Linked DNA regions of Lonchura striata. The protein of the gene in region 3 interacts with the protein of the main gene of each other region in a biochemical or structural test. Links are inferred from orthologs where the notes say so. Each region holds a gene or a part of one and is shown on either strand. Other genes may lie near its edges.

The links.
Region 1: the proteins of TERT (region 3) and CIB1 form a complex in vitro, tested with the Homo sapiens proteins (2 studies listed by BioGRID). The link is inferred for Lonchura striata from reciprocal best matches to the Homo sapiens genes TERT and CIB1.
Region 2: the proteins of TERT (region 3) and PTGES3 form a complex in vitro, tested with the Homo sapiens proteins (2 studies listed by BioGRID). The link is inferred for Lonchura striata from reciprocal best matches to the Homo sapiens genes TERT and PTGES3.
Region 4: the proteins of TERT (region 3) and TPP1 form a complex in vitro, tested with the Homo sapiens proteins (2 studies listed by BioGRID and IntAct). The link is inferred for Lonchura striata from reciprocal best matches to the Homo sapiens genes TERT and TPP1.

Annotation. Positions count from the first base shown.
Region 1 is NC_134613.1:24,356,117-24,363,171, reverse strand, and holds CIB1 (calcium and integrin-binding protein 1), read left to right. Parts: upstream 1-4,051; 5' UTR 4,052-4,111; coding exon 4,112-4,162; intron 4,163-4,280; coding exon 4,281-4,315; intron 4,316-4,735; coding exon 4,736-4,838; intron 4,839-5,234; coding exon 5,235-5,388; intron 5,389-5,636; coding exon 5,637-5,755; intron 5,756-5,824; coding exon 5,825-5,913; intron 5,914-6,154; coding exon 6,155-6,176; 3' UTR 6,177-6,957; downstream 6,958-7,055. Other genes in the region: tubulin polyglutamylase TTLL13, read right to left, coding at 26-182, 540-670, 1,125-1,145; GDPGP1 (GDP-D-glucose phosphorylase 1), read right to left, coding at 2,887-3,963. UniProt on the Homo sapiens protein: Calcium-binding protein that plays a role in the regulation of numerous cellular processes, such as cell differentiation, cell division, cell proliferation, cell migration, thrombosis, angiogenesis, cardiac hypertrophy and apoptosis.
Region 2 is NC_134629.1:5,675,241-5,682,531, forward strand, and holds the start of PTGES3 (prostaglandin E synthase 3), read right to left. Parts: upstream 3,012-7,291; 5' UTR 1,947-3,011; coding exon 1,804-1,946; intron 1,710-1,803; coding exon 1,640-1,709; intron 1,178-1,639; coding exon 1,079-1,177; intron 881-1,078; coding exon 791-880; intron 605-790; coding exon 542-604; intron 116-541; coding exon 91-115; intron 1-90. UniProt on the Homo sapiens protein: Cytosolic prostaglandin synthase that catalyzes the oxidoreduction of prostaglandin endoperoxide H2 (PGH2) to prostaglandin E2 (PGE2).
Region 3 is NC_134603.1:64,360,554-64,367,643, reverse strand, and holds the start of TERT (telomerase reverse transcriptase), read right to left. Parts: upstream 3,008-7,090; 5' UTR 2,969-3,007; coding exon 2,741-2,968; intron 1,774-2,740; coding exon 1-1,773. UniProt on the Homo sapiens protein: Telomerase is a ribonucleoprotein enzyme essential for the replication of chromosome termini in most eukaryotes. Active in progenitor and cancer cells. Inactive, or very low activity, in normal somatic cells.
Region 4 is NC_134604.1:116,992,368-116,999,380, forward strand, and holds the start of TPP1 (tripeptidyl-peptidase 1), read right to left. Parts: upstream 3,017-7,013; 5' UTR 2,993-3,016; coding exon 2,982-2,992; intron 2,577-2,981; coding exon 2,481-2,576; intron 2,401-2,480; coding exon 2,261-2,400; intron 2,187-2,260; coding exon 2,036-2,186; intron 1,823-2,035; coding exon 1,701-1,822; intron 1,342-1,700; coding exon 1,157-1,341; intron 948-1,156; coding exon 749-947; intron 1-748. UniProt on the Homo sapiens protein: Lysosomal serine protease with tripeptidyl-peptidase I activity. May act as a non-specific lysosomal peptidase which generates tripeptides from the breakdown products produced by lysosomal proteinases. Requires substrates with an unsubstituted N-terminus.

The DNA.
Region 1 (7,055 bases), on a different chromosome or scaffold from region 3:
CCGATGTTCTGGAGCATCCCAGTACCTCAGAGATGTACAGCTGACAGATCATGCGTTCCCCGTGCTTGATCTCCTCTGGGTGGTGGGTTATGAAGATCCCTCTTCCCTGGCAGCTGTTGTCAGGCTTGCAGATGAATGTTCTTGCTTTCTTCATGGATCTATAGGCATGGAAATCTCCGTAGCTGTGCAAGGGAAGGGTGACTATCACCAGCTGCAAAAAACACCCCTCTGAACTCTCTCCTAACTAACAGCTGGGTACTGAAACCATGGTGCTGCAGGCCAGCACACACTGAACCTCTGCAGGGGATGAATCCAACTCCTAATTTCTAATCTACAGGAGTCACAGACTGGTCCCTGTGTGACCTGACCCAGCCTCCGCATCCCTCCTTTCCCCTGCACACATCTCCACCTGTACTGGCAGGTGTGCAGGAGAGGTCACTGTGTGCGTGTCACAGCAAGTGAAGGTTTGGGTTCCGGTGCCCAGAACGAGCAGCCCAGCAGCCTCCCCTGCCCGTGTCACCCCATCCCCAGCGACTCACTCAGCTGGCAGGCACCACGTGCGGGGGAAGATGTTGTACTCCTTGGGGAAGAGCCGGAGCATGCGGTTCAGGTTGCGAGCCAGCAGGTCCTTGCGGCACAGCTCGATCATGCCTGGGAAGTGGTTGATCTTCTGAAAGTAGTGCAGAAAAACCCTGATCAGCAGAGCCCTGTGGGGATGGATTCTCCTGGCCCCGAGGAGAGCCTGCACATGGAGAACCAGCAGTGAGAGGGAAGCCAGGCCTGCGGCTGCCTTGAACTACTGCTGGGGGGTGAGACTTGCTACAGCTGTTTTATCCGAGCTTCACTACTGATTTATCTGCCTATTCCATCTTAGCCCTGGAGCAGTGAAAGGGCTGTTTAGTTCACAGCACATCACAGGGCTGGAACACTGCTGCTCCCGCCACAGCTGTGAACGCTGCTGCCAACACCAGCCAGAGACATGGCACCAGCAAAGGCGTCTGACCCTGCGCCCTGGAGCCGAGGCACAGGTGGCACAGGGCGCTGCTTTGGGTGCTTCTGTTCACAGACAGCCATGTGTCACCCTCCCTCCCCAGCAGTTCCTGCTGGGCAGCTGTTCCATTTACCTGGAAGCGCTTCATTTCCATGAGGCGCTCCAAGGCGACCGTGCTGTCGGTCCAGCACACCGTCCACTCCTCATTCTCTGCCGCTTCCTTCAGCCCGCAGTGCTGCGCCGCCCGCCGCACTGTGCCAAGGCAAGCAGCGACAGGGCAGCCACGCTCAGGGACTGATAAACCCCCAGAGTAACCAGGGATGGAATGTGAAACAAGCCTCTGGCTGAGGAGCCACATACAGGGCCTGACACCCCCCCAGAATAACATGGGATGGAGTATGCAGCTCCTCAGGCTGCAGCTCCCCTCTCAGAGGTATAAAGTGTTGGCATGAGCCCTTGGAACATGTCAAGAACACCACTTTTATCTGGCCAAATCCCCAAGCCTCTGGCTGCAAGTGTTCTGGGAACTCTTAAGCCTCTAACCCCACCTGTCTTGAGGTGCCAGGACCCCTCAGCAGCAGGATTGAACTTCCCATGTGTCTTACAACTCACAGGCAGATACAAGTCTTGTGAAGGTGTGAATTTAATCTCCCAAATCAAAGGTCTTTTAGCAGAACATAGCTCTGCAGAAAAAGGTCTCTGCTAGCATGGTTCATCGTGCCAAGTATGAATTTGGCAGGGCTGATGGAGATCCACGCACACCAAGATCCCTTAGCAAATAACACCCCTCAAGGGCCAGAAGTTTGTTGTTTCGAGATCCAGCTTGTGGAAGGAGAATGGGAGGGGAGAGTCCACCAGTTCCCTGGAGTCACCAGGGATGAACAGCACAGGGAGAGGTTCCAGGTACAGATCCTGCCTGCTCACCACCAGCTTTACCTTAAACAGCTGGCAACTCTCAGGCCCTGTCTCCAAGTCCAGGTGCTCCCTTGCCCTGTACCTGATGAAACCCTTCTTGCCCATTTTAGCAGACAGCTGGCAAACACAAGTGTGGGGCATGTTCAAACACAAGTGAGGGCTCACGCTGCTGTTGCACATTTTTAAATTGGGGGGAATCTCAGTCCAAAATGTGACAAACTCTCCACTAACACAAGAGTCCTGTGCCAGTCGCTGGCAGCAGTAAATAAACCGGTGGGAAGCGGGTGCCAGCACCGCTCCTGGCTGGGCAGGCACCTGGAGAACCTCTGACTTACCACTCTCGTACTTGCAGCCGCTCAGGTTGATGGAGGGGACACTGGAATAGAGACGAGATGACAGCAGCTCAGCGAGGCACGGGACAGAGTGGGGACACAGCCGATCCCCCCATACACAGAGCGCCCCGGGCAGTCTGACCGAGCCAGCCCCGGCCCGGTACAGCCCTAAGGGGACGGGCACGCTGGTTCTGGGCACGGAATGCGCCTGGCTGTGTCACACAGGGGGTCGCTGGGGCACTTCCAGGGAACACTATTTATTTTGGGACCGGCTCCCGGGGACTGGGGAAGGCCGGACTCCGGCCGGACCCTGCCGGGGCCGCGGGCCCGCACTCGCCTGCGCTTCCTCCGCGGCTCGGGTGCGGCGGGGGCAGCGGGACGGTCCGGGGGGGCCGCGGCGCTGGCCGCCTCCTCGCCCGGAGGGGTCCCCGGGGATGGGCCCGGGCCCGTGCTCCCGCCGCCGCCGGCCGCCGCCATCGCTCCGCTCCCGGCGCCGCCGCGTTCCCATGGCGACCGCACCAGCGAGCCGCGGGCCCCGCGGGCGGAGCGCCCCGCGCGCCGCGTGACAGCCGCTCCCGCGTCCTCCGCCGGCAGCGCCCCCGGTGCCGGCAGCGCTGCAGCGGCCCGGCCGGTGTCCGTGCCACCGGCTCAGCGCTCCAGCAGCCGCGCCAGCTCCCCGCCCAGGTGCAGCAGTTCGGGTTCGGGCAGCAGGTGCTGGCGGATGGCGCTCAGGGCCTGCACCTCGGTGATGTCCCGGTAGAGCGGCTCGGCGGGCAGCGGCAGCAGCCCTGCCAGCTCGCACAGCGCCACGGCGAAGGGCTCGCCCGCCTTGGGGCCGAAGAGGGGCCGGCGCGCCCACAGCAGCACCCGCAGCCCGCGGCCGCCGCCGGCCCCGGGCCCCGCCGGCGGGTCGCCCCGCGTGGCCAGCACGTTGCAGGCCAGCCCGGCACGGCCCAGGTGCTCCGCCGCCCGGCACACGGCCCGCGACACCGGCTCCAGCGCCGCGGGGCCGGGGGCGAAGAAGAGGAAGGCGGGGGCCGGTCCGGCGCGGAGCAGCCCCAGGCCCGGCCCCAGCGGCTCGGCCGGCGCCTCCTCCAGCGGCAGCGGGCGGGCCAGGTAGAGCCCGTGCAGGTGCAGGTGGTTCACCGAGGCGCCGCCGCCCAGCCCGTTGAAGCCCACGCGGAAGCCGGGGTGGGCGCTGAGCAGCGCCGCCTCCAGCGCCCCGCGCAGCGCCGGGGCCGTCAGCGCCTGCGGCAGCCGCCGCGCCGGCTCCGGCAGCAGCAGGACGTGCCCCCGCTCCAGCGGGCTGGCGTTGATGGCCACCAGCAGCGGGTCGGGGGGCGGCCCGGGGCCCCCGGCGCGGCGCAGGCGGAACAGCAGCTCGGCGGGGCGCAGCCGCGTGAAGTTGAAGGCGCCGGGGTCGAAGGGATCCCGGAGGCTGCGGACGGGCTGTGGCGGGCGGCGCTCCGCGCTGCGCTTCTCGTTCAGCTGCGCCACGATGCGCACGGCTCCGGGCAGGACGCGGGTGGGCAGCGGTCCCAGCCGGTACCGGAACAGTCCCCGCTCCATACGGTCGCTCCAGCCCGCCAGCAGCACCCGGTCGAACCGCGAGAGCGCGGAGTCCGGGTCGTCCCAGCCGGCTGCCTGCAGCACGAAGTCCTCCTCGCCGTACACGAACTCCTCGGGGCTCGGCTCGCCCGGCTCCGCTCCCGCCACAGCCGCCATCTCCGCGCTGCCGGCGCCGGGAGCCGGCCGTGTGCCCGGCGGGCGGGGCTGGCCGCTCGGGCGGCCGCGCTTGCCCCGCCCGGGGCGGGCCGCTGCCGTTGCCGTTGCCGCGGCAGCGGGCGAGTGACGTGCGGAGGGAAGCGGCGCCATGGGCGGCTCGGCCAGTCTGATCCCGCGGGACTTGCTGAGCGAGTACCAGGTACCGGCACCGGCACCGGGGCGGAGGGTCCCGGAAGGTGCCCAGAGGCCAGGAGCCCATGGCTACTGTGCCCTGGCTCAGGCCTTGGCCCCGGTGCCGACCCGTGCTGTCCCCGCAGGAGCTGACGTTCCTGAGCAAGCAGGAGATCTTGCTGTGAGTACCGCAGTACCGTAAGTGCCCCCCGTGCCAGCCCGGTCCCGCGGGGTTCAGCCTCTGCCGCGGGGCACGGAGAGCTGCGGCCCTGCCCCGGGGCTCCCGTTCCGCCGAGACGGCCAGCTGAGCCGGGAGGTGCCGGTGGCGCTCCCTAGGAGCCGGCTGTGGTTGGGCGAAGGTCCGCGGGTGCTGCCGGTGACGCCCTGCCCAGCGGGGTAGCGGCCGGGGCCGGCCCGATCTGGTCGGGAGCCCCGGAGCCGCGGTGGGCAGCAGCCCGAGCGGCTCCTTGCCTGGCCCCGGGAGCGGCTGTGGGACCCGGCCCGGCAGAGCTGGCAGGAGCGGTGGGATGCGGCCACCGCGCCCTGGGGTGCGGCCACCCCGCTCGCACCACAGAGCCGCTCTTTTTCTTGCCTCTTAAAGTGCCTACAAGAGGTTCAGTGAGCTGCTGCCGAAGGAGGAGAGGGAGAACGCCTGCTCCGCGCGGGTTTCCAAGAGCCAGATCCTGACGCTGCCTGAGCTGCGGGTATGGTGCCCTGCAGACACGGGACACTGCTGCTCTGGGGTTAGGGCTCCGCGCACCCAGCACGGCCTCCCTGCGCCAGTGCTCTGTCCTCAGCTGTGCCACTGAAGAGCTTCCTTGTCCTCACCGAGCAACTGACAGTCCCAGGGCTGCTGCTGTGCAATGGGGGATCCCTGCTGTGCAGGATCCTGGGGGTTCCTCCTGTGCCACAAGGGGCCCTGTCTATCCCTGCTGCATGGGGCTGCATCCCAGAAGGTGCACGGGACAGGTCTGACCGTGCCATGGGTGATGGAGCAGTGGCAGAGCAGGGCAACTGCTCACCTGCTGGAGCAGCAGCCAAAGTGTGCCTGATGGAGCCAGCACGGCCCAGCCCGGCCTGAGCCATTCCTGTGTCTACAGGCAAACCCCTTCCAGCACCAGATATGCCACGTGTTCTCAACCTCAGAGAGCGGGGATGACAGCATGTCATTTGAAGACTTTCTTGATATGCTGAGTGTCTTCAGCGATTCTGCCACCTCTGACATCAAATCCCACTATGCCTTCCGCATCTTTGGTAAGGCTGGGGAGAGGTGCTGTGTTCTGGGATCACTGCACCTTGAGGAAGTGGGAGCAGGGTGATGGGTTGATGTTCAGGAGGGCTGGCAGGGCCCTTGGAGCACCCACAGGGATGGTGGCTTTAGGAACTCCCAGTGGAACAGCTGGTTTGGCATGGTGAGGTGCATGGAGTGCTGCAGTACCGGTGTCTGTGACTCCCTGGGGTCACTGCAGCCCTGCCAAAACCCACCTTGTTTCTCCCCACAGACTTTGACAACGATGGGATTCTGGACAGGAAGGACCTGGAGCAACTGGTGAACTGCCTGACAGGGCAAGGCGAGGAGTCCCAGCTGAGCAGCGCAGAGATGGAGCAGCTCATCCAAAATGTGAGCCCCGCTGGCCAGGGCATGGGCACAGCCCCAGGCACAGGGCTGAGCGCTCACCTTCCCCCGCAGATCCTGGAGGAGTCCGACATCGACAAGGATGGCACCATCAACCTCTCTGAGTTCCAGCACGTTGTCTCCCGCTCCCCGGACTTTGCCAGGTGCGGTGGTCTCCGGAGGCTGGCTGGGGGCAGCAATCACCCTGATTGCTCAGCTGGCACTGGGGCAGAGCTCATGGTGGCAGGAGAGCAGGGCCGCCCTGTGCCAAGTCTGCACAATGGCAGAGGGCTCTGTGTCCCAGGCTGGCTCTGCAGAGGGATTCTGGTCCCTGCAGCACTGGGTGCTTGTCAGCTCTTTGTGTGACCTAGCAAGCAGGTGCAGATCCTGTCGTATCTCTTGCAGCTCCTTCAAGATTGTCCTGTGAGCCCCGTGGCGGTCCAGCAGCACTCCTCCAGCTCCTGCAGGACTCCTCTAGTTCCTGCAGCTCTTTGTGGGCTCAGCCATTTCCTCTTTCAGGGAGCACAGGCCCAGCCCCTCAATGGCCTGGCTGTGCTGCGATGCCTCAGGCAGGAACCCTCCAGCTTCCCTCTCAGGTGCCTGCTTGGCAGCCAGGGGTCCCAGGAATCTGCCTCTCCTGCATCCCCTCTGCTGTCCTAGCAATAGAATTTGAATCCTTATGCATTCCAAGGGCAGCTCTGCAGGTGAGGGAGGAAGAGCTGCTCCTGCCTGGGGCCACTCTGCACCAGCACAGCCCCTCTCTGCCCTCAGGACAAATTCCTACTTTGTGCCTTCCAGCAGCAGGCAGGGAGCTGCCTCTGCTGCCAGCATCTTCCTGCCTCTCCTGTATTTCTGGGAGCCTGCCTGCTGCCACATGGATCCATTTCTCTGAGCAATAACTGAACGTGGATCCTCTGAGCAATAACCAAAAAGTGGATCATTTTTTACAAGCAATAACCTAAACAGGAATGCTTTCTCTGAGCAGTCACCCAGGAGTCACTGTACAGATGCCACCCCCCAGCAGAGCTGTCCCCCCACGGCTGTGCTCAGAGCCTGTGCTGCCCCTCCTCCTCCTCCTCCTCCTCCTCCTCCTCCTCCTCCCTTTCTGTCTTTGCCCTCTTCTGGCTCCAGCACAGCAGCTGCTCTGCCGCCCTGGCCTCTTCCTCCCCCATTCCCTGTGAGGACACAATTAAAGGGCTCCGGTTTCACCCTTGCTCTTTGCTGCCTTTGTCCAGCTGTGGGACGGGTGCCACTGGGGTGTTGGGGACATGGGCTCCTGCCAGGCCTCTGCCTGCATGCCAGCCGC
Region 2 (7,291 bases), on a different chromosome or scaffold from region 3:
GCCAGGATGAACATCTGCTGGCCCTGCCCGAGGGCGGCTCGGAGCCTTCAGCAGGTGTGTGAGGGGAAAACAACAAAGACAACAACTTACTTTCATCATCACTGTCTGGTGAGTCCTGCAAAGGAGAACAAACAACCTTTAAGTGGAGCAGACCCACCCTCTCCCCTGCCAGCAGAGAGCTGCTGTTCCCAAATCTGGATTTTGAGGAATTCCAAGCTCCAGATGACACAGGGAGCTCAGTTTGGCCTCACTGCAGACCCACAGTGACCCCCAATCCCTGCAGAGAGACAGACACCCCAAACTGGTGTCCCCAGCACCTTTAGACCCACAGTGACCCCCAATCCCTGCAGAGAGACAGACACCCCAAACTGGTGTCCCCAGCACCCTCAGCACTGCTGAGAGGGGAGGGAAAGGGCCTCCCCAGGTGACATCACCTGTGCAAACAAGGTTTGGGGCTATTTAAGCCTTTTTTTGGTGCTGAGGGGTGAGTGCAGGACTTCTGAGCCAGCCCTGCAGGTGTTCACTGCACCCACATACTCACATCATCTGCCCCATCTACTTCTGGCAAGTCTACGTCGTCGTCTCCTCCCATGTTGTTCATCATCTGCTCAGAGACAGAACAGCCACGCTTTGGAGTGAATCCAACCCAAAACAACCCAAAACCAACAGCCCTCCCCTTGCTGTAACAGATCAGTTGCCCCCATGCAGGAATTACAAAGTGATGGTGCACAAAAAGCTAGGATTCATTGCCTGGCAACTCCCAAAACTCCAGGAATTTGTAGTTCCCTACCTCAGAAAAGCGATCAAAATTGGACATGTCTTCATCTGAATCATCTTCCCAGTCTTTCCAGTTGTTGAAGTCCACGCTGAGCCAGTTGAGCTGCAGCAAGACCCAAGAGTTATTTAAGGACAAGGAATTATTTAAGGACAAGGAAGTGGTTGTCACTTAGAACAGGTTAACAAGAGCTGCCGTGGGATCAGGAGCAGGAAAGTGACCCAAAACTGCTCCAGAGTTTGAACATGACCCAAATATTCACTAAATTGAAAGCCAGGGGAGGCAGCAGATGCCCAGACTCACCTTTGCCCTCTCTTTTGTTAACCTTGGCCATGCCTGACCAGACTCTCCTTTTCGTAAACAACACAAGATGGATCTGTCTGTTCTTTTATGCTTTGATTCCTGAAAAAGAGCAAATATCCATTAGCACCATCAGGATGACCTTCACCAGGAACTGCTGACATCCTTCCTTTATCTTCACCTCTTCCCTTATTCCTTGTCCTGAAAAATACCCCCCCAGAGAATCTTTCCTGGATCTGACTTTGAGCTTTTATGTTCTAAGGAATAATTCCCCTTAGAAAATATTCCATATTCCTATTTTAAAGGAATAAAATCTTGGGAGCAGCCTAAAGAACAGATGGTATTTTTTAGGATCCAAGAACCAAGGGATGGTTTGGGTTGGAAAAGACTTTAAAAGCCAAGTTCCAAAGCCATGCCATGGGCAGGGACACCTTCCACCAGCCCAGGTTGCTCCAACATGGCTTTGAACACTTCCAGGGATGGAATATCTGCAATTTCTCTGGACAAGCTGTGCCAGCCCCTCACCAGCATCAAGAACTCAGGAAGAGTCAGGAGGATACTCACATTTGGATCGATATTATTAAAAAGATCGATTTCATTTAAATGTTTAAAATTATCACTTCCTCCAAGACAACTGCAAGAGAAAAAGAAATCAGTATTTAGCCCAAAAAACATCTCATAGAACAAATCTGCTTCTCCTTAGCGCTCCCTGTGCCGGAATTACTCACCTGAACGTGAGTTTGGACTTTTCAAAATTTACATTTACGTCTTTGCTGTCTTCGACACAGAACTCGATAAAGACGTAGTCCCTCCGGTCGTACCACTTTGCAGAGGCAGGCTGCCTGTGGGCACAGCAGGGACACAGGGGCATTGATTTTCATCAAGAAATCCAAGGGGAAAAAAAAAGCTTTTTGCACTTAAAACCTTCATTTCGAGCTTACTGTTATTTTTTAAAGTTGCTTTAAACTGAAAAGAGAGGGCTGGAATCAAAAGAAATTATGTATTTGGTGCATTTGGAGTGTGACGCCCCCAGAAAGCTCCTGGGAGGAGCCACTGAAATCTGAGACTGAAATCAACATTTCAGCAGATCAAAATTATGATAAACTTCAAGATGAGATACTACAGATTATGGCAGCAGCTCCACCACCTCCAACAGCTGCACAGGCAGACTTCAGAGTGGTTTTCGTCACGCAAAGAGTTAAAACCTAAAGTAAAACTACCAGAAAAAAAACCAAACCCTTTTTGGGGTATTGATACTATAAAAAAATGGATCTGCTATGATTAAGACCCAATTAAGCCAGCACAGGCTGGAGAATCACTGCTCCAAGCTTTTACAAGTGCTCACACCAGGACTGCCACACACTTTGGAATTCCTCTGCCTTTGCACCTCAAAAAGCAAGAGCATGTCCAGGGGAGCTGGGAAAGGCACAGAGCTCCAGAGCAACTCCTGTGTTTGCAGTCCCACCCTGAGAACTCACCTGCACTGCTCGGTGGAGCGGGGAAAGGAGCTGGCAGGGCTCAGACACCTCCTCCCCCTCCCAGGCCCAGCCCAGGGAACGGCTGCATTCCAGAAGCAAAGGCCTCCCAGCAGGGCTGCTGCAGAGGCACAGAGCCCAAGGGTGTTCCTCAACTCCTTTGTCTTCCTGAGATCGGTGGAAGGGTTGGGAGGGACCTCAAAGTTCAGCCAGTGCCACCCCCTGCCCTGGCAGGGACGCCTTTCACCAGCCCAGGTTGTCCAGCCTGGCCTTGGACACTTCCAGGGATGGGGAATCCATTCCAGGGTATCCCCAGATTCACAGGGAGGTATTTCATCCCAATATCCCATCTTAATCTGCTTTTTAACCTTATCTCCCCCTTTATCTGCCATTCCTGTGCCTCACCAGCCTCACAGGGAGGAATTTTTCCCAGCTGTGGGATGAGGTGGAAGGCTCTGAGCTGGACAAGGATTTAAACAGGGAAGCTGATGTGACATGGCCTGTGACAGTAGCTGAGGCCCTCTGTGCTGCTCTCTCTAAACCAATATCTGACCAAAAAACAACTTTTCAGACCATTTATTAAGGTAACCTTTGCTAAACTTCCAGATGAAGATTTCGACTCGCCTCATCAGCCATTATTTGCTGGCACTGAGCTGTGGCACATTTAGCAAAGGGACTCAACCAAAGGCTCCTGCTGCTCCCATCCACATTTCCTAGGGATGAACCCAACCATGGCCCAGCCCAGCTCCAGCTGGACCCCAAACCAGCCACCTCTGAGCTCCCCCAGTGCCACAGGTCCTGGGCAAACTGGTGCCACTCAGGGAAAGGCAGCAGGATGGCCACAATGCCTTGGGCAGCCCAAACACCTCTTGTAGGTGCCACAACACCTGGGCAGAGACCAATGTCCAAGGATTTCATTTCCAAGAGCATAAAAAAAAGTGGATTCTGAATTCAGCCCTGAGTTTCAGCTGCTCCAGGGGTGAAAACCCGCTGCTTTCCCTCATAGCAGCATTTCACGGAATGTTAATTATCACCTTATTCAGGTGAAGTGCAGCAGCAGAGCAGCAATTTTTTTACTGTGGTATTTTTAAACTCTTCTTGGACACAGATTTCCTCTTTTAAGGGGGAATGAAAGACTCCCAAGAGGAAAGGAGGATGAGAAATGCCCTGCTCTGCTCCCTCTGTGCCAGGAGACAAAACCCCCCAGCGTGGGGCACTCGGAACGTGGCTCCAGCCCCGTTATTAACAGAAATCTCAGTGTCCCTGCCCGGGTGACGCAGGGGCTGAATGGTGTTAACACTTCCCAGCTCTCAATGTCAATGGAGACATCTCCAGCCTTCCCAGGGAGGCTCGGCCGGGATCGGGGGTTTGAGGCAGCACCAGGACTCGGAGCGCTCCCAGAACCCGCCCTGGGCTCAAGGCTCCACACACACACACACACACACACACACACACACACACACACACACACACACACTCACACACACACACGTGTGAGCTGGACAGAAGCGAAATCCCAGCTAAGTCTGACTCGGCCACAATTCGCATTTCTGGATCTGTATCTGTGCTGCTTTCCTGGGAATTCACCCCGGGAGCGCTCGGAACGCGTGACCTCGTGTTGTGGTTTGACATGGAGAAAGAATTTTTTTTCGGAAAGAAGAGGTTAATTTAGATATTGAGTAATTGAAGGTGGACATGTTTTTGAGAATATAGAGGGGTTAAAAGTAGAATTTCTTTAAAACTCTATAACACAAAAAAACCTCTATTCCCTCAATAAACTAAGTATCAATTCTCTAAAAATTAAAAACCTAATTAAAATCCAAATGATATCTCAGTATAACTTATAAAAATTAAATAATAAAAAAAATTTTACAAAGTTTTCATTTTAATCTATATATTTTTTCCCTTTCCTTTCTTTTATAATAATAACTTAATATTTTTTCCCTTATTATTAAACTTAAGCCTGCTTTACTCTATTCTCAATTCCATTTCACAACATTCAATTAAAAAATTACATTTTCATAAAAACACTAACATGGTACCAATATCAAACCATAACACCTCGGCAGCTCGGCTGGGATCGGGGGTTTGAGGCAGCACCAGGACTCAGAGCGCTTCCAGAAACCCCACAGGGCTCACACGCCCGAGCTGCAGAGCAGCGAGACCCCAGATGAGTTTGACTTGGCCAGAATTCACATTTCTGAATCTAAATACACTCTGCTTTCCCGGGAATTCACCCCGGGAGCGCTCGGAACCCGTGACCTCCCAGAAATCCCACTCAGCTCAAGGCTACACACACATGTCCCAGTGCAGAGAGATCCCAGATAAGTCTGACTCTGCCATAATTCTGATTTCTGAAAATCCTAATTTTCATAATTCCAGGTTTCTGAGCCTAAACCTGTGCTGCTTTCCTGGGAATTCACCCTGAGAGCACTCAGAACCCATGACCTCCCAGAAATCCCACTCAGCTCAAGGCTACACACACATGTCCCAGCAGCAGAGAGCAGTGAGATCCCAGATAAGTCTGACTCTGCCATAATTCTGATTTCTGGAAATCCTAGTTTTCATAATTCCAGGTTTCTGAGCCTAAACCTGTGCTGCTTTCCTAGGAATTCACCCTGAGAGAGCTCAGAGCCCGTGACCTCCCAGAAATCTGTCTGACTCTGCCATAATTCTAGTTCCATGTTTCTGGAAATCCTAATTTTCATAATTCCAGGTTTCTGAGCCTAAACCTGCACTGCTTTCCTGGGAATTCACCCCCAGAGTGCTCGGAACGTGCTGGAGCTGCCTCTCCTCCTTTTATCTGCTTTTCCAATCTCATCCTCCCAAAGGCAGGAGGGAAACCTCCCAGTCAGCTCCAGTCAGGACTCACCAGTTCCAACCAGTACTGCAGGACCTGCCGGGGAGCTGGGATGAGGCGGAAGCCGCAGCTCCTCTCTGTCTCCTGCCCACACGGAGATTCCCAGGAGACAACCCCAAACAGCAGCAGCCCGTGGGGAGCCCTGCACGTGCTCCCAGAGCTCCCACACACCCGTGGAAAATCTCCTCTCACAGGCACTGCCCCACCGCCTGTCGGAGCTCCATCCTGCTCACCCCAACTCCGAGGGAGCTCAGCCTCCTGCCAAGGGTGTTTTGGTTATCCAGCACCCCCCCTCCAGCATGGGATTTGGAAAACAGAAAGGGATTTAAAGGTTTAAAAGGGAATTTAGAACCCTTTTAAATTCCTGGGTGGTTCCCAGCGCTCTGTTCCGGTGAGGATTTCCTCTGTCCCATCCACCTGTGCTCTGGGAACTTCCTGAGCAGCCACTGCAGCTCTTCCAATCCCCACATTCCAATCGTTATTCCAGCACTGTGGAACAAGTTCTAGAAGCTTCCCAGCAGCACTGATGGGCAACGTGGAGGCTCAGCTTGACCACAGAGCCCTCAAGGCTCTTCCTGATCCAGGGAGCTCTGCTGGATATCCCTGGATTTCTCCTGGTCTCTGGCACGCTGAACTCACCAGGGGAATCTCAAATCTCTCCATCTGTGGCATCGAGGAAGTTTCCAAACCTGTTCTTGTGTTTTCTGCCTGTATCCCGAGCCTATGGAATCCCAGCTTTGTCTCCTGGAAGTATCCTGACAGCTCCCACAGCTCGAGGACACTGCAGGAATCAGGCCCTCAACAAGATTTCCTCCTCCCAGACAGCAATAAAACCTGTTTTACAAAATGACTTTTCCTTTCATTTTTACACCCTGGAAAGGCGCCTTTTTTTTTTTTTCCTCCCCATTTTAAGAAAGCCTCATTTTAGATTTTAGACAATTCTATGCAGATGCAGCAGCGCTGCAGTTTCAGGATGCTGAAATCTACAGAAATTACACGAGAAAACTCCAACGTGATCACACTTCTCTCACTTTCACTCACGTTAAGATGAAGCATCTCCACTGTTCAGGGCTTCAGAAGAAAAGTAAAAGCCTGGCTGAGGATAAGGGCCCAAAAACCATCAGTCAACGCTGTCCCCAGCCCAAATTCCTGACAAAACAAAACCTCAGGAAGTGCTACTGCCTCCAATCCTCCCAGCCAGGCCCGTGGAGGTCACAGAATGGTTTGGGTTGGAAGGGGCCTTGAAGCTCATTCAGCCCCTCCTGCCATGTGCAGGGACACCTCCAGGGATGGGACATCCTCTGGAAAATCCATTCAAGTGTTGCACCACCCTCAGAGGGAGGAATTTTTTCCCCAATATCCCACCCAAAGCTGCTCCCTGGCAGTTGGGAACCCTCGTTCTGCCGCTGGAGACGTGGGAATGCTGCCGGCAGCTCCCAGGGCAGCTCAGCTCTTCTTTCCCAGCCCGTTTTCCACCCTGCACGTGGAAAACTCCGGCTCTTCTTGAGGAAACGCTCGCGTCCACCAGAGCTCTGCCACGAGCTGGCTTCGGGTGGCTGAAGGCAGGCGATTAATTAGGGTTAATTAGCTCCGGGGGAGCCGGGAGCGCGGGATTCCGCTCGGGATGCACGTGGGGGAGGAGATCCAGCGGCTCACCTGCACCGGGCACAGCAGCACCACGGCAGCCCCGGGGCTTTCCGTGAGCCTCCACCCCATCCTGAGGGGCCTTTTCGCTATTGCTCGGTTTTTTTATGGAATTCTGGAACGCTTTGGGCTGGAAGGGAGCTTAAATCCCACCTCGCTCCAGCGGACCGGGCTGCTCCGAGCCCGGTCCAGCCCGGCCTCGGACACTCCCAGGGACAGCGCCAAGCGCGGGGATGG
Region 3 (7,090 bases):
GAACCGGCACTTGTTGTGGTTTGAACCCCAAAGCTCAGCAGGAATGACCTTCTCCAGGCAATCCCTCACAAACATGTACACCTGCCAGTGGCTGCTGTGCTGCTTGAGGAGCTCTGCGAGGGCTGAATCACATGCCTCTCGTGGGTTTTGTTCCTCACTCGGCAGCAACTCCCCACGCGCAGATTCTGCCAAGGGAGCACCTAAGTTGTCTGGCACATCATTGTGACCAGATTCACATCTGCTGCTTGTCGCACACTTAGCAGGCTCTTTCCCAGACTGTTCCTCTTGCTTCTGAACCTCTGCTTCCTCAGACAAGGCCACCTGACAAGACAGCTTGGTTTTTGTCATACTGATTTCAGATATCCAAACAGGGCAATTTTTTTTCAAGAGAGCTGAGTAAGCACACTTCCCATGGTTCAATAGCAGTTTCTGAAATATATGTCTCATTTGCCAGTAACGTTTGGGCAATGTCTTCTTTCTTCGCTTGTGTTTTGGCAGACTTTGGTTATGCCTTTGCTGCACCTGATTCTGGCTTAAGAATATAGCTTCTACAAGCTGTCTTCCACCTGCCTGAGAACCTTGCAAGCGATTCAATACAAATGATTTAGGAAAACATTCTTGGAAACTCCTGCAAGAGTACAGAAGAGACTTCCTCTCAATGTATGTTGCAGAACTCAGGAGTCTCTTTGGTAACTTCTTTGATAAATGAGGTTGGGGACTTTCCTGCTCTCTGCATTTTGAACCCTCCACTGGTTTGGTTTGTCCTGAAGCCAACTGAGATTCATATGTACGCATCTCTACTCTTTTCCTATGGGATTCTGCTTGCATTTCAGTGTTGGACTCTAGAGGTTTGTTACTCTGAAATCTCTGCAGAAGAGAGACTGCCACAAATTTCCTCCTGCCACAAGATGTGTGAACTAAAGAAGGACCAGACACAGCACTGTTACTTCTTTCAGAAATACAGGGGGTTTTAATGACACTTGCAGAATGTGCTGCTACATACCCAGTTTCAGATCTCTCGGAACTACTTTGGTTTACATCAGGAACAAGACTACAAGCCTTTTCCTCTCTCACTTTCTCTCCTATTTTTGCCCTCTTGGCTGGAATTTCAAATTGTTCTCTATGAATCTTCCTTTTTAGAGACGGAGCTGCGGCTGAAACACATGAACTGGAGCTACTCTGTTTTTCCTGAGCTTCAGTAACCATTCTGATCTGTTTGCTTCCTTTAGAAACGGTTTTTGCAGAACTCTGGTCAGTGGGCCCTAAGCTTCGTCTCTTGTTCTTTCTTTCATTTCTCATCCTGGAGACATTATCTTCATATCTTTGTCTGTTTGACTTTAAAAGATAATTTCTATGAAAGATAAGCCTTTTTTGCATATATTTCAGCAAGCTAGTACGTTTATATTTTGAGAACCTTTGTCTAACAAATACCAGGGATGAGTCTACACTATGTGAAATAAGTTCATAAACTGGTTGTCCACAAACCTGGTAGCAATTATTAGGGGGAACCAACATAAAGATTGCACAGTGTTCCAATAAATACATCATCACATCATCCCCTATCCGGCTCAACAGTGTCTCCCAGAAGCCGCTGATACAAAGAGTTTCTGTGGCAGTATTGGGTAGGTAGCTGTGTATCTTTGAAAGTGGCATGACTGGGAATTGAGAACTGTTTTCATCTGGTAAGGAGTATCCATACGCGAGGATATTCTTCTTCTTTTTTTCACACAGTCTCTGAACAACTCTTGCGGTGACCTCACTCTGACTAGATAACTGAAGAAAGAAAGAAAAAAGATAATTAGCTTTTTCCACTTACTCCTCCATAAACCACAATATACCCTTTAAATATAAACACATGCAAAGTTACACAGCCCCAGACATCAGCTTTGAAAGCAGTATTAATTATTCACATGCATCACACTCAAAAATTAAGATTTTCCAAGCGTAATGCAAGATGTTCATATGCAGCAACGTAAGCCGATGACTTGAAGGTAGTCTTTTTAACACCTGCCCTTTTGATCCTGGCTTTTATGCCCAGGAAACGCCCTGCACTATTCCCCCTAAGACCCACAGCAGCTCAGACTCCACGGCCTCCAATGAATCCGTGTTCGCAGATCCATGTTCGCAGGCACGCATACGTGCTCGCGCAGGCTCCAACCTCCAGGGAACTAACGCTAATTTTCTTGAGGCCTCCACTTCCTTTCATGTAAAGGAAAATTCAACTAAACGACTCGGCACACACTTCCAAAACCCATTTAACAAGTTGCCCTGGGTTGGCAACATCTGCTTCCTACCACAGCACAGTTTTGCTCATATGGCGCTAGAAAAAAAGCGGTCTTCCCTCTCTGAAAAGCTTTTCCTCCGCTTAAACAACGACCTGCAGCGCGTTCTACCCGCCTCTTCTTCATTCTCTCAAGACTGGGGCACTCTCCATCCCCCGTCGCTCCCCGGCCACTTTCGCCTTGTTCCCCGTACCCACAGGGGCAGGCGGGCGCCAGGGGCCGCGCGCAGACCCGCAGCGCGACCGCCGCCCCACGCCGGCACCCGGGCCCTGCTCTCCCAGCCAAGAGGCGGGGGCTGGCTCCCACCGCTCCCCGCCGGCTCCGGCCGGGACGGAGCGGAGAAGGAGGCTGCGGGACCGGCCGGGCCCGCCCGGCAGCCGCCAACAGGGGCAAAGGCCGCCGCGCCGCCCCGCAGTCCCCGGGAGCCCGGCCGGGCCTCGCCCCCGGCCCCTTCCTACCTGCTGGAAGGAGAAGGGCCGCGGGATGGCGCGGGCGCCGCGGGGGACGCACACGAGGCACTGCCCCACGAAGTTGCGGTAGCCGGGGGCGTCGTCGGCCCGCAGCACCTCGGCGTCCCCGGCGCCGCCGTCCCCCAGCCGCCGGACGAAGGTCTCCAGCGGGACGGCCTCGGCGTAGCAGCGGCGCAGGGCGGACAGCACGGCCGCGAAGGGCTCCTTGCCCGCCATGTTGCGGCCAAAGAGGGCGCGGGGCCACCTGGCGCGGCCGCGGCGCCCCTGCGACCACGCCGCTCGCCCGCCGGGCATCGCGGAGCAGCGGCTTAGTGATGGATGCGTGAGGAGGTAAACGCATTAACTGCTGAGGCGGAGGAAAAAGGAAGCAGCCAAAGCATCCTTTCAAAGCCGCGGCGCGGCTGCACGCCGCTGCCCCCCGCGTGGCCGCGGGCCGGCGGGGCGGGGCGGCGGGGCGGGGCCGGGCGGGGCCGGAGGCCGCTGTCCAGCTCCGCCGCGGGGACACAGCGGCAGCATTCCCCGCCGGGGAGCGCTTTTCCCCTCTGGAAAAGCATTCCATTGAGGATCTGTCTGCACTAAGAGCACCTGTAGGAGAGATTGTGGTGGAGATGAACGTACGAAACCCTACAAATACCGAAGTGGCTCACCCTGTTGGTTTTTGTTTTTTTTCTCATCAAATTAATGAATGAAGAAGCCACATCACTTGCGGTACTGTACAACCTCCTACTCCAAATTTGGCTTGGTATCTGAAGATTTCATGATAGAAAACCTGATGCCAGTCTGTGAAAGGGATTGCAGTAGAGTCCTGGGGAAGTGCAGGTCTCTAGGCTCTATATGTGTTCCAGGTGAATTAGTAGAAATCCTAGAATTATATAGCATGGTTTGGGTTGGAAGGGACTTCAAAGGTCATCTAGTTCCAACTCCCTTGCCATGGGTAAGAGCAATATACGTGAAATATCTGTGCAATAACGGAATTAGGGGATGCTGAGAGAAATACAAATTGTTCAGCCAACATTGCTCCCATAAGGAGTCCTGCCCTTGAGTTCTGTCAAGTGTTGAAAAGACATGAAAAATTATCTGGTCATCTGGTTGATATATGCTACCTGAATTTCCAAAAGCCTTTGCAAGAAAATGTACCATGATGCATTGCATACATTCAACAAACCCAGGACTTTTGTGTAAATGTTTTGGCAACATGGAGTTAGCACACTACCATGGAGGGTGAGGTGACTGACTCTCTTCTACCCAGGCTTCATAATTAGGTTGCTGTAAGTATCCTGCAGAAATATAACAGACTTCTCTCCTTCCCAAAGATTAGAGAGTACCTCATCTTTGAGAGGAATCATCCAACAGATCCCATCGTGGAGATTACTTTTTCAGGGGTGTCACTAGATGAAGGGAGATGTTAGTGTCCCCATGGTCTTGTCCCTGGTAGTGGTGGTGCCATGCAGTGAATAATTCTCACCAGTAGCAGGGACAGATGTGTAGAAGTCGTGAGTCTGCTGAAACAGAGCCATGTGTACCTTCCTCAAATGAAGCCTTTACAGACTAGGGAGTGAGGTCACCATCCCACTGCTCATGGAGGACTGGCCTCCTTTCCTACTAAAACAATTAATTTCTTCCTGGGAGCAAAGCAGCTCATCTCCTAACATCAGCATGACTGAGGATTCAACTCCCTGGCAACTTGTCACCTACAAGTTGAGGCATTCCTACATAATTTCCAGTTCAGCACTGCCTGCTTGCCAGACTCTTTTAGCTCTTAACAGAGATAGGCACCAGCTGGCATTCCCAAGGGAGGCAGAGCAATAACACCAGGCTTCATGGGATCTCAGCAGGGCTGTAATTAAAATACTGCACTACCACTGCATACTGAGGGGCAGGGGATTTGTAGACAGTCTGAATCCATCTGCATCTGCATCTAGGGTAGTGATATAGCTGATGCCCTTAGTCTGACCTCTGAAGGATCTATTTGACTTGTATTTCCCCCCATATCTCTGTTGCTCCAAAGGTGACAGCACCATTATGGTAGAATGTTGCCTGTGACAAACATAAGGTTCACCATTTCCTGTGACAAGCATGTTCAGGAAGAAAGTAAGAGGAAAAGGAAGAAAAAGGGATTAATTAATCTCCACCAGTTGCTGGCAGGTCCCAGCCTGTGCCCCTTCCTGATGCCTCCTTGGTGGCAATAACCACAGCAGTGATGGTGGGGGAGAGGGCTGCTGCAGCCAAGCTAAGGGGGGCTCTCTCCTCTTTCTTTTCACAGGTACTGTGTGTTTTTCTGTGTGTCTACTATTGGACTGGGGAGAAAATTCAGGAGGGAGAGGGAGACTGAAGTAACATGGAAAAAGATTAAGGTTGACTTTTTGACTTTTTGGCTTTTTTTTTTTTTTTTTTTTTTTTTTTGGAGGGGTGACAGGATGAATAAGGAAAATAGAATCTCAGAGACATAGAATAGCTGAGGTTGAATGAACTTTGTAGAGGTATCTAGTCCACTCTGCTGCTCAAAGCAGGGTCACTTAGAGCAGATTGCCAAGTACCATGTCAAATCAGGCTTTAATGTCCTCAAGGATGGAGACTCTACAACCTCACTGCACAACATGCTCCAGTGCCTTATCACACTTAAAAAAAAAAAATAATGTTTAAATAGGATTTCTTCATTTTAATTTGTGCCTGCTGCCTCTTATCCTGATATTGGATCCATTGAGAAGAATTTGGACCCATCTTGTATTTATTCACTTTGATATGATCCCCACTTTGAGCCTTTCCTCCTTGGGCTAAACAATTCCTTTGATATGATCCCCACCAAGCCTTTCCTCCAGCTGCCTCACCATCTCCTCATAGGTCAGATTGTCCCACTCTCTAATCACTTTAGTGTCCTTTAGTGGTGTCCTGGTTTAGGGCAAATTTGGGAGAAAAACTCCAGAAGGAGCCCCCAGAAAGCAAACCCACCCACAGCCCCTCCCCCCCCCCCCCCCCCCCCCCCCGGTTCGGGAAGAATTTCCTCAGAGAGAAGAGGGAAAAAAACTGTTTATTTAACAAGCAAAACACTTCCCAGCACCAAAAAAAACAAAAAAAAACAAACAAAAAAAACCCCCAAAACACCAGATGACAAAAACTCTTTCACTGCTCTGAAGAGATGACAAATTCAAATTCAGAAAGTCTCTCCTGGGAGTGGTTGCCCAGTTCTTGGTCTCTGGCACTGGGGATGGCTGCTGCAGATCCCCAAACGCAGGCTCTCGGTGTTCCTCGGTGTTTCCCAGGTTCCAGTCCAGAGCAGGTTGGAATGATACTCAGGAAAGGGAAAGAAAAAAACCAGTTCAGAATAAAAAAGATTGGACTCCTTAATTAAACTAACTAATAAGCAAAAGCAAAGGCAAAAGCAAAAGGAGGAGCAAGAGCAAGCAAGCAGGCCAGGCCAGCCAGCAAGCATTAGCCTCTCCTAGACAACAGACCGGGGGTGGGGGGGAGGTGAGCCGGCTGATAACAAGACAAAACAAACCTTCACTTTCAGAGTCAGTTCTGAAAGCACAGAAGATAATATCAAACATAAACAGAACACATGATTGGGAATACAAACACCATAAAGTCACCCTAGGACAAGTGGAAAGTTCTCTGTGCTCACTACAATATCACTCTTTTACTGGGAACCCAGATCTGGAAAAATAATGGGGTCAGGTCTCAACAAAATTTATGCTTCAAGGCATACTTAACCTTATCCACATTCTGCTTTACAACCAGTTTCTGTGAAAGGGGGTTACCCTGGGAATGGATAGTGGTATGATAAAAATAAAATGCTGTTTTTATGGTCAAGCAACAAAGTGAAAGGAAATGTGATGTTATGTTTGTGTCCAGCTTCAGTAATGGCCATTTAAAGAGGCAAGCTTTCTGCAAATGTGCCTCTATTTTCAAAGCTCCATTTGAGAAGGCTAAAGGGAACTCTTAGAAGAAAAGTCACAAGATGAAGAAGTCAGGTGTCTTTCAAAATGTGTGTTCAAATAGAAAAGTGAAAAAACAAATCAAACAATATCAGATTAGTTTGATTAATAACTTCTCAAAGTTGGAAGAAACATGAAACTTCAGAAATGGAACAGCTTGTCAGGAAGTCTATAATGCAAAAATAGAGAAGGAACACTTAGGACAATCATGGCAATACTAAGAAACTTGAGGGAGGGTCCTGTGTGAAATCTTTGCACACACCATGAACAGTCTCAAGGTTGATTATTGTGAATTATGTTGTTCAAGAAAGAGGAAAAAAAAATACAAAAGCCAGTGAGTCTCTAAAATTAGATGGTAATTACCAGTGAGTTTAAAGGAACTCAGGGATTACCCATGTCAAGA
Region 4 (7,013 bases), on a different chromosome or scaffold from region 3:
AGGGGAGCAGCGTCCCAGGCACACCTACTCACTCTCGGTCACCCATGTCACTCATCTGCATCCTTCCCATACCAGTAACTGTGTGAGGACGGAGGGAAGGGCAGCACTCATCTGCTGTCACCGTCACCATCAGGGACAGGGCTGCTGTCCCTGTGGCACCCACCTGCTCAGCCAGTTCCCAGTCTGGGACAAGGACACTGCCCCTAGCACTGTGCCCTGTTTGTGTTTGTGTAGGCTGTTTGGCAATTTATTTTCCCAATTCCCTCACTCTCCCTCATCTGTTCCTCTGGAAGGCTCGTGGGTGGGAGCTCAGCTGCAGCAGAGCTGGAAAACCCCACGGGAGGAGGGCTGTGCCCTCCTTCATGGAGCTGAGTGGGGCAGCTGCTCTGTATGGTGCTAGCAACAGAAACCCTGCTTCAGGATACTCTGAAGATTGAAGGTATACAGAGTTCAAAGTCACCACACACAGCAGGAGTGATGTCCCTAGGAGCTGGGAATGCGGTGCCAGCTCTGACTTGGGGAGCACACAGGGTCCGCTCCCACAGCAGCTGGGGATGCACCTGGGCAGTACTACAGCCAGTTGTCTGCACAGCCCTGCAAGCTCTCCCCTCACTCCTCCCAGCACTCCCCTCCCTTGTTCCAGCCCCCTCCCTCAAACCTCCAAATGTTCCCTTCCCTGCTCCAGGCCCTCCCCTCCTCTCTCTGGGTGCTCTCCTTCCCCCTGCCCCTCGTGGCTCTTCCCCAGTACCTGCGTTGCTGAAGACCCAAGTGGAGACATTGGCGCCCGTGCTCATGATGTATTCTACATCCAGGCTGGCCTCCAGCCCGGCTTTGCCACGGCCCTGGTGCCCCACCACCCGGTCCACTTGCGTGCGGTGGGCAAAGCCGCTGCCAAAGAGCTGCATGAACTCAGCCAGGTCAGCTTGGTGGAAGTACTGCTCGAGAAACTGTGGGATACAGAGGGACAGGTTGTCTCCTCTCAAAAAAACAAGGTAACGCTTTGATCCTGACGTAGGAAATTGCCCAGCACGGGTCTGTGCTACACCAGGTGCTCCCAGCAGCCACTGAGGGACACCCAGCTGTCCCAAGACCCCCAGACCAGCACCAAACCCTTGGACTGCCCCGGTACACATGCCTCTGACAAGGCAGTGCTTACCTGTGCACAGGCCTGGCTGTTGTTGGGCAGCAGCCCCACATCCCCCCCTGTCATGTTGTATCTCTGGCGCAGGACAGCCGGTGTCACGCCCAGGTGGAACGATGCTCGTGCCAGCTTTGCGTCCTTCCTGGCCCTGGCTCTGCTAATTGCCTTGTGCTCCGTGGGGAACCGGTGCAACCCACCCACTGCAGCAGAGCCCAGTGGGATGGGAGAGGCTGTCAGGGCACAGAGCCCTGGGAGGGCAGGACAGAGCCCTTGGACTCCCCATCACTGCCCCCACTTCTACACGGGCAGGCCAACAGCAGGGCTTGGAGAGCCCAGCCCTGCAGCCCTGGCCCAGGGGAAGAGCCTCTTCAGCCTTCCCACAGCTGAGCCTTCCTCAGCCTTCCTGTGGCTCAGCCATAGCCTCAGCCTGGCACCCCCCACGCTGTTAATGGGACGGTCACTGGATCCCACGGAACGGGGATCTGCAGGAGGGAGGTTTGTCCCCCAGGAGCAGCAGCACCTGCGTTCCGCAGCCTCAGCTCCCCCAGGTGGGACGTACCGAAGTCCAGGTGCTCAGCGAGCTCTGCGGGGACAGAGTAGGGCAGCGGGGACCGCAGCAGGCTGCGCTGGCCCTGCACGTACCGGTGGAACTCGGCCCCAGGGAGCAGGTGCTCGGCCGCACTGCAACACAGGGACAGCCGCTGTGGGACGGGACAGCCCTGGGACACAGGGACAGCCACCGAAGGACAGGACAGGGCTGGGAGAGAGGGACAGCCACTACGGAGTGGGACTGGACTAGGACATAGGAACAGCCACCACAGGATGGGACAGCAGTGAGACACAGGGATAGCCACCACAGGGCCAGCAGAGCCAGTTCTGGCGCTCAGAGCTCACCTTGCAGGCAGGTAACACTCAAGAAAGTCAAGGGTGGTGACACTCCGGCAGTCCTCTACACCATGGCCTTGCAGCCACTTCAGAACTGTCATCAGCGTGGCTGGGGAAGGCTGGACCAAGTCCCTCACCTGCTCCAGGGACAGGTACTGCCCTGGGAGGCACACAGGGGTTACAGATCCCCTCACAGGCCCCGAGGGTCTCGGGCCTCAGGGACGTGGCCGTTACCGTATTGTGGGGACCGGGGGTCCGAGACAGCCTGGACCAGGCGGGCGAGACGGGCAGCGCCGCGCTGACGCAGGGCGAAGGTCAGCAGCACCGGCTGCCCGGGATCCACGCGGCCGGCGTGGGCCCAGCCGGGGGGCACGCTGCAGGGTGGGCGGTGAGCGGGGCCAGCACCGGCACCGCAGTCTGGCCCGGCCTGGCCCGGCCCCCGCCCCGCACCTACCGGAACGGCTGGTCCCGCTCCAGCTGCAGCGCGAGCCCCGGGGCGCAGCTCCAGGCGGCCGCACACAGCGCCAGCACGGCGGGGATCCCCCAACACCTGCAATGGGCTCAGGGGAGCACAGGCAATGGCACAGCCGCGGGCAACAGCACTGACCGCGGACCGAGCCCGAAGCCCGTCTGACTACCCCTCGCCCCGGGTCTGGGGAGCCCCCCGGAACTCGCCGAGACCCAGCACCGGGGAGCCTGTCTGACCCCGCTACCTGCCACTGGGGAGCCCGCCTGGCCCGCGAGCCCTCACCACCGAGGAACCCCGCCTGACCCCCCGGTCCCCGTCCCCACCGCCACCGGGAGCCCCGTCGGACCCCCTGAGCCTCCATCACCCGGGAGCCCCGTCGGACCCCATGGCCGCCGAGGCCGCCCCGGCCCCGTTACCGCCCCCCGGCGGGGTGTCCCGGTGTCCCGGGGTGTCCCGGTGTCCCGGCGCCCCGCTCCGTGCCGTTACCCCCGCGCCATGCCGCCCGGTCACGTGTGGCCGCGTGACTCCCGCCACGCGGAGACACCAAAACAGCGCTCACGTGACAGCGCTCACGTGACGGGTGGAGTACCGGGCTCGGCGCCGGGGGCGCTCCGGGCACGGTACCGGGGTACGGGCACGGTACCGGGGTACGGGCACGGGGCGGGATCTGGGCTCCGGGCACGGTACCGGGGTACGGGCATGGGGCGGGATCTCGGCTCCGGGCACGGTACCGGGGTACGGGCACGGTACCGGGGTACGGGCACGGTACCGGGATACGGGCACGGGGCGGGATCTGGGCTCCGGGCACGGTACCGGGGTACGGGCACGGGGCGGGATCTGGGCTCCGGGCACGGTACCGGGGTACGGGCACGGTACCGGGGTACGGGCACGGGACGGGATCTGGGCTCCGGGCACGGTACCGGGGTACGGGCACGGTACCGGGGTACGGGCACGGGGCGGGATCTGGGCTCCGGGCACGGTACCGGGGTACGGGCACGGGGCGGGATCTGGGCTCCGGGCACGGTACCGGGGTACGGGCACGGTACCGGGGTACGGGCACGGTACCGGGATACGGGCACGGGGCGGGATCTGGGCTCCGGGCACGGTACCGGGGTACGGGCACGGTACCGGGGTACGGGCACGGGGCGGGATCTGGGCTCCGGGCACGGTACCGGGGTACGGGCACGGGGCGGGATCTGGGCACCGGGCACGGTACCGGGGTACGGGCACGGGACGGGATCTGGGCTCCGGGCACGGTACCGGGGTACGGGCACGGGGCGGGATCTGGGCTCCGGGCACGGTACCAGGCTCCGGGCTGCGGCACCGGGCTCTAGGCACGGTACCGGGCTCCGGACTCGGTGCCAGCGGGGACTCGCTGCCTGCCGGCCGCCCCAAGGCGGCTCAGACACGGCCCTGGCCGCCCCCAGCCCGTTCCCGGCCGTCTCCCGGCGCGGTGCGGACACGTTCCCGGCTCGGACACGGCGTTCGGCCGAGGGCCCGTGCCGGGCTCCGGGGGGCAGGGCTCCCTGCAGGGCTGGAGGCAGGACGAGAGTCCGTGCAGGACCGATGGCCGCGGACTGGGAGGAGAGGCCCTTGACAGGCGGGGGACCCTGCTGGGGTCCCTGGCCGGGCGGGGGGTGAGCGGTCCCATGCAGGAGGGGCTGCTGGGGGCAGCGCAGGAGATACACAAAGGTTAACAACCGTGAACGAACATCAACTGCAGACGTCACTCCTCGAATAGGAAACCAAACACAGAACGTTGACACTTGGGACAAATGGACAATGAACCAATGAATTTCTATGTGCTTTGGCTGTATAAAATATGTAGAAAATGTAGTAAAATTCATGTGTCATGGAATGATTTTTCTCTGCACAACCCAGGACATATGTGGATGAAACAATTTCTGTTGCACATCCTGGCCAGAATAAAGCAATGCCTTGATTCTCTCACAGTATAAATGTTGGAGAGTTTTTTTGTTTTCCTGCAGTTTCAGTGACAAGCCCAGTCCCACGGCACATCCCATGGCTCCAGCAGTTCCCAGCTGCTTTCCTGCTTCTGCAGAGCGGGGCCCAGGCCAGGAAGAGACAGGCAATAGGAAAACCACCTGCCCGGCCGAGGTTGCCAATCCCCCGCGCTGGAGCAACACCAGAGGTGTCTGTCTGTTCCTGCTCCCCTGCTCCAGCCCCACGGCTGCCCTGGCCTGGCAGCCCCGGCCTCCTCCTGGCTGCAGACACGGGGGAACCAGCTGCCCTGGCCGCAACCGGGGGCTGGGGTGCTGTCGGGGCTGCACGGCCCAGGTCCAGTTTGGGGATGGATTCTCTAAGTGGGATGAGATTTGCAGGGGATGATGCCTGGATCTGTCTGGACAGCCAGGATTAAGGCGGCCAGGCAGAGCTAATCGTGTTAAGGAGCATCTGCTGTTGGTCCAGCGCCTGGGAGGTCAGGGAGCCTCTGTGTCCCCTGGCTGGAGCCTCGCTCTCCGGGACCCTCGTGTGCTGTTCCCACAGGTGCGGTGAAGTGAGTCCCCACTGTGTGCAGCTGGCTTTTCCCGAGGCCAGGAACACCAGAGGAGGACAGTGGCACTGAGGGCAACCAGCATGCCCACTGCACCCCAGCAGGGAGCTAGAAGGAGTCGGGCTGGGGGAGGAAGGAGCAGAGGGAACCCCAGGGACACCATCAGGGTCGGGGTGGTCGTCCTTTCCCCCTCTGCCCCGGCTGTGCTGGCTTATGCTTACCCCAGTGAAGTGAGGAGCCCTGTCAGAGCCGGGGGACAGGAGCTGCTCCCTGGCCCCAGAGTGCTGCCAGCAGGGCTGGGCGTGCCTTGGGGGCTGTGCAGAATAGGCTGGGGCTGTGCAGGACTTGCTGTGGGGTGTTGGAACCTGAGAGCTGAGGACAGGGAGTAAACAGGTTGGTTTTGGGAACAACAAACAAAGGTAAAGCAGGATGGAAGTGGGTGATCATATGTAGCTGGTTGATGGTCACTACGGGTCTGGCCACATCCAACACCTGACATCTGCACGGCCGCTACTGGTTCTCCAGCTTGGTAACTGTTTCCTGGGGCCAGGGGGCACTGTTTGGTGAGGAGTGTGGCATCAGGTCACAGCGTCTGGAGATCAGCAAAGAGCCCCGTGCATGTCTGTATCACCCAACAGGGAGAAGCAGAGCCAAAGTTACTGGGCAGACTGGCGGGATTGCTGGAGCACTGGGATCCCCAGAGCAGGTCTGTGCATGCTGGCTGTGATAAGGCTGTGCCTTGGGGAACTTGTGTGTCCAGGTGTCCTCAGTGGGGATCCTGGGAATGTGAGGTACCTGCTGGGCAGACGTGTCCAGCTGTGGCTGCTACAGCTCTGGGTGCCTGCACAGCCCTGCCCACAGCCCTCACCAGAGCGAGGGTAGGGGATGGGATAGCGATGCCTGTGGCATGCGGGACCAGCTGTGTGCACGTGTGGAGACATGCCTTCCACAGCTGTGTTTGCACGTATGCCTGTATGGAAACACACTCAGCCTCACTGTTGGACAGCCCCAGGACCATGGGGTGCCACAACTTCACTGGCCTCTCGGGAACAGGACTTGGCAGGACGCAGCCATGGATGTGGGTGCCAGGGCCTGGCCAGGCTCATGTGAGCCCTTCGTGATGCAGGTCCAGCATCCCCGCTCTGGTCAGTGCCTTGGGAACATGGTGCCAGCCTGGCACGAGCCCACAGCAGCAGGGATGGGGCTGTGTCTGTACAAACGTGTGGTTTATTAAGGCATTTTTTGAGACATTGGCACTTGGGTTCAGGCTGCACCGAGTGGCCCCTGCACGGCCGTGGGCAGCGCTGGTACATGCAGCTCCACAAGACACAATAAAAAAGGTACAAACGAGTAAAAACAGGAATTGTAGTACAATGTGTAAAAATAAATAACAGGGGGCTCAGTGACCCCAGCCCAAAGCAGGGTGTATGTGTCTGGCCCTTCCTGTGGCGTGCAGAGTGACCCATGTCTGTCCTCATCCCAGATGTGCAGTGGAGCTGGGCTGTGTGGGCAGCCTGGGCAGCACAAGGCCAGGGGGCATCAGGCACCCCAGCATGGGACTGGGGGACACCAGACACCCCCAGAGTGTCCCTATGGGGCCTGGGGAGAACAGTGTGTCCCCACAGTGCTTGTGAGCAGGACAGAGAGGGGATGAGAGTGCCCACCCCAAGAACCTCTGTGGGCTGCCCCTGTGCCAAGGCAGAACCATCTGCCCCTCCCAGGGCGCCTCAGGCCCCTGTGGGTCCCCAGGCATGGAGGGTGGGCATGAGCGGGCACGGGCCTTTGTGGGACCCCCTTGGTGCCCCTGTCACTGTTGCAGATGCCTGTCCCCTGTCACTGCCCTGTGCCCAGGACAGCACCCGGGACCTAGTGGCGCATGCCAGGACCCCACAGCACAAGGGGGATGAGAAGCTGATTGTGACACACACAGCTGCAGCCACAGATGGCTCTTCATGGGAAATGGGGGGACAGGCAGATGTCACAGCATTTGTCTGTTGTGACAA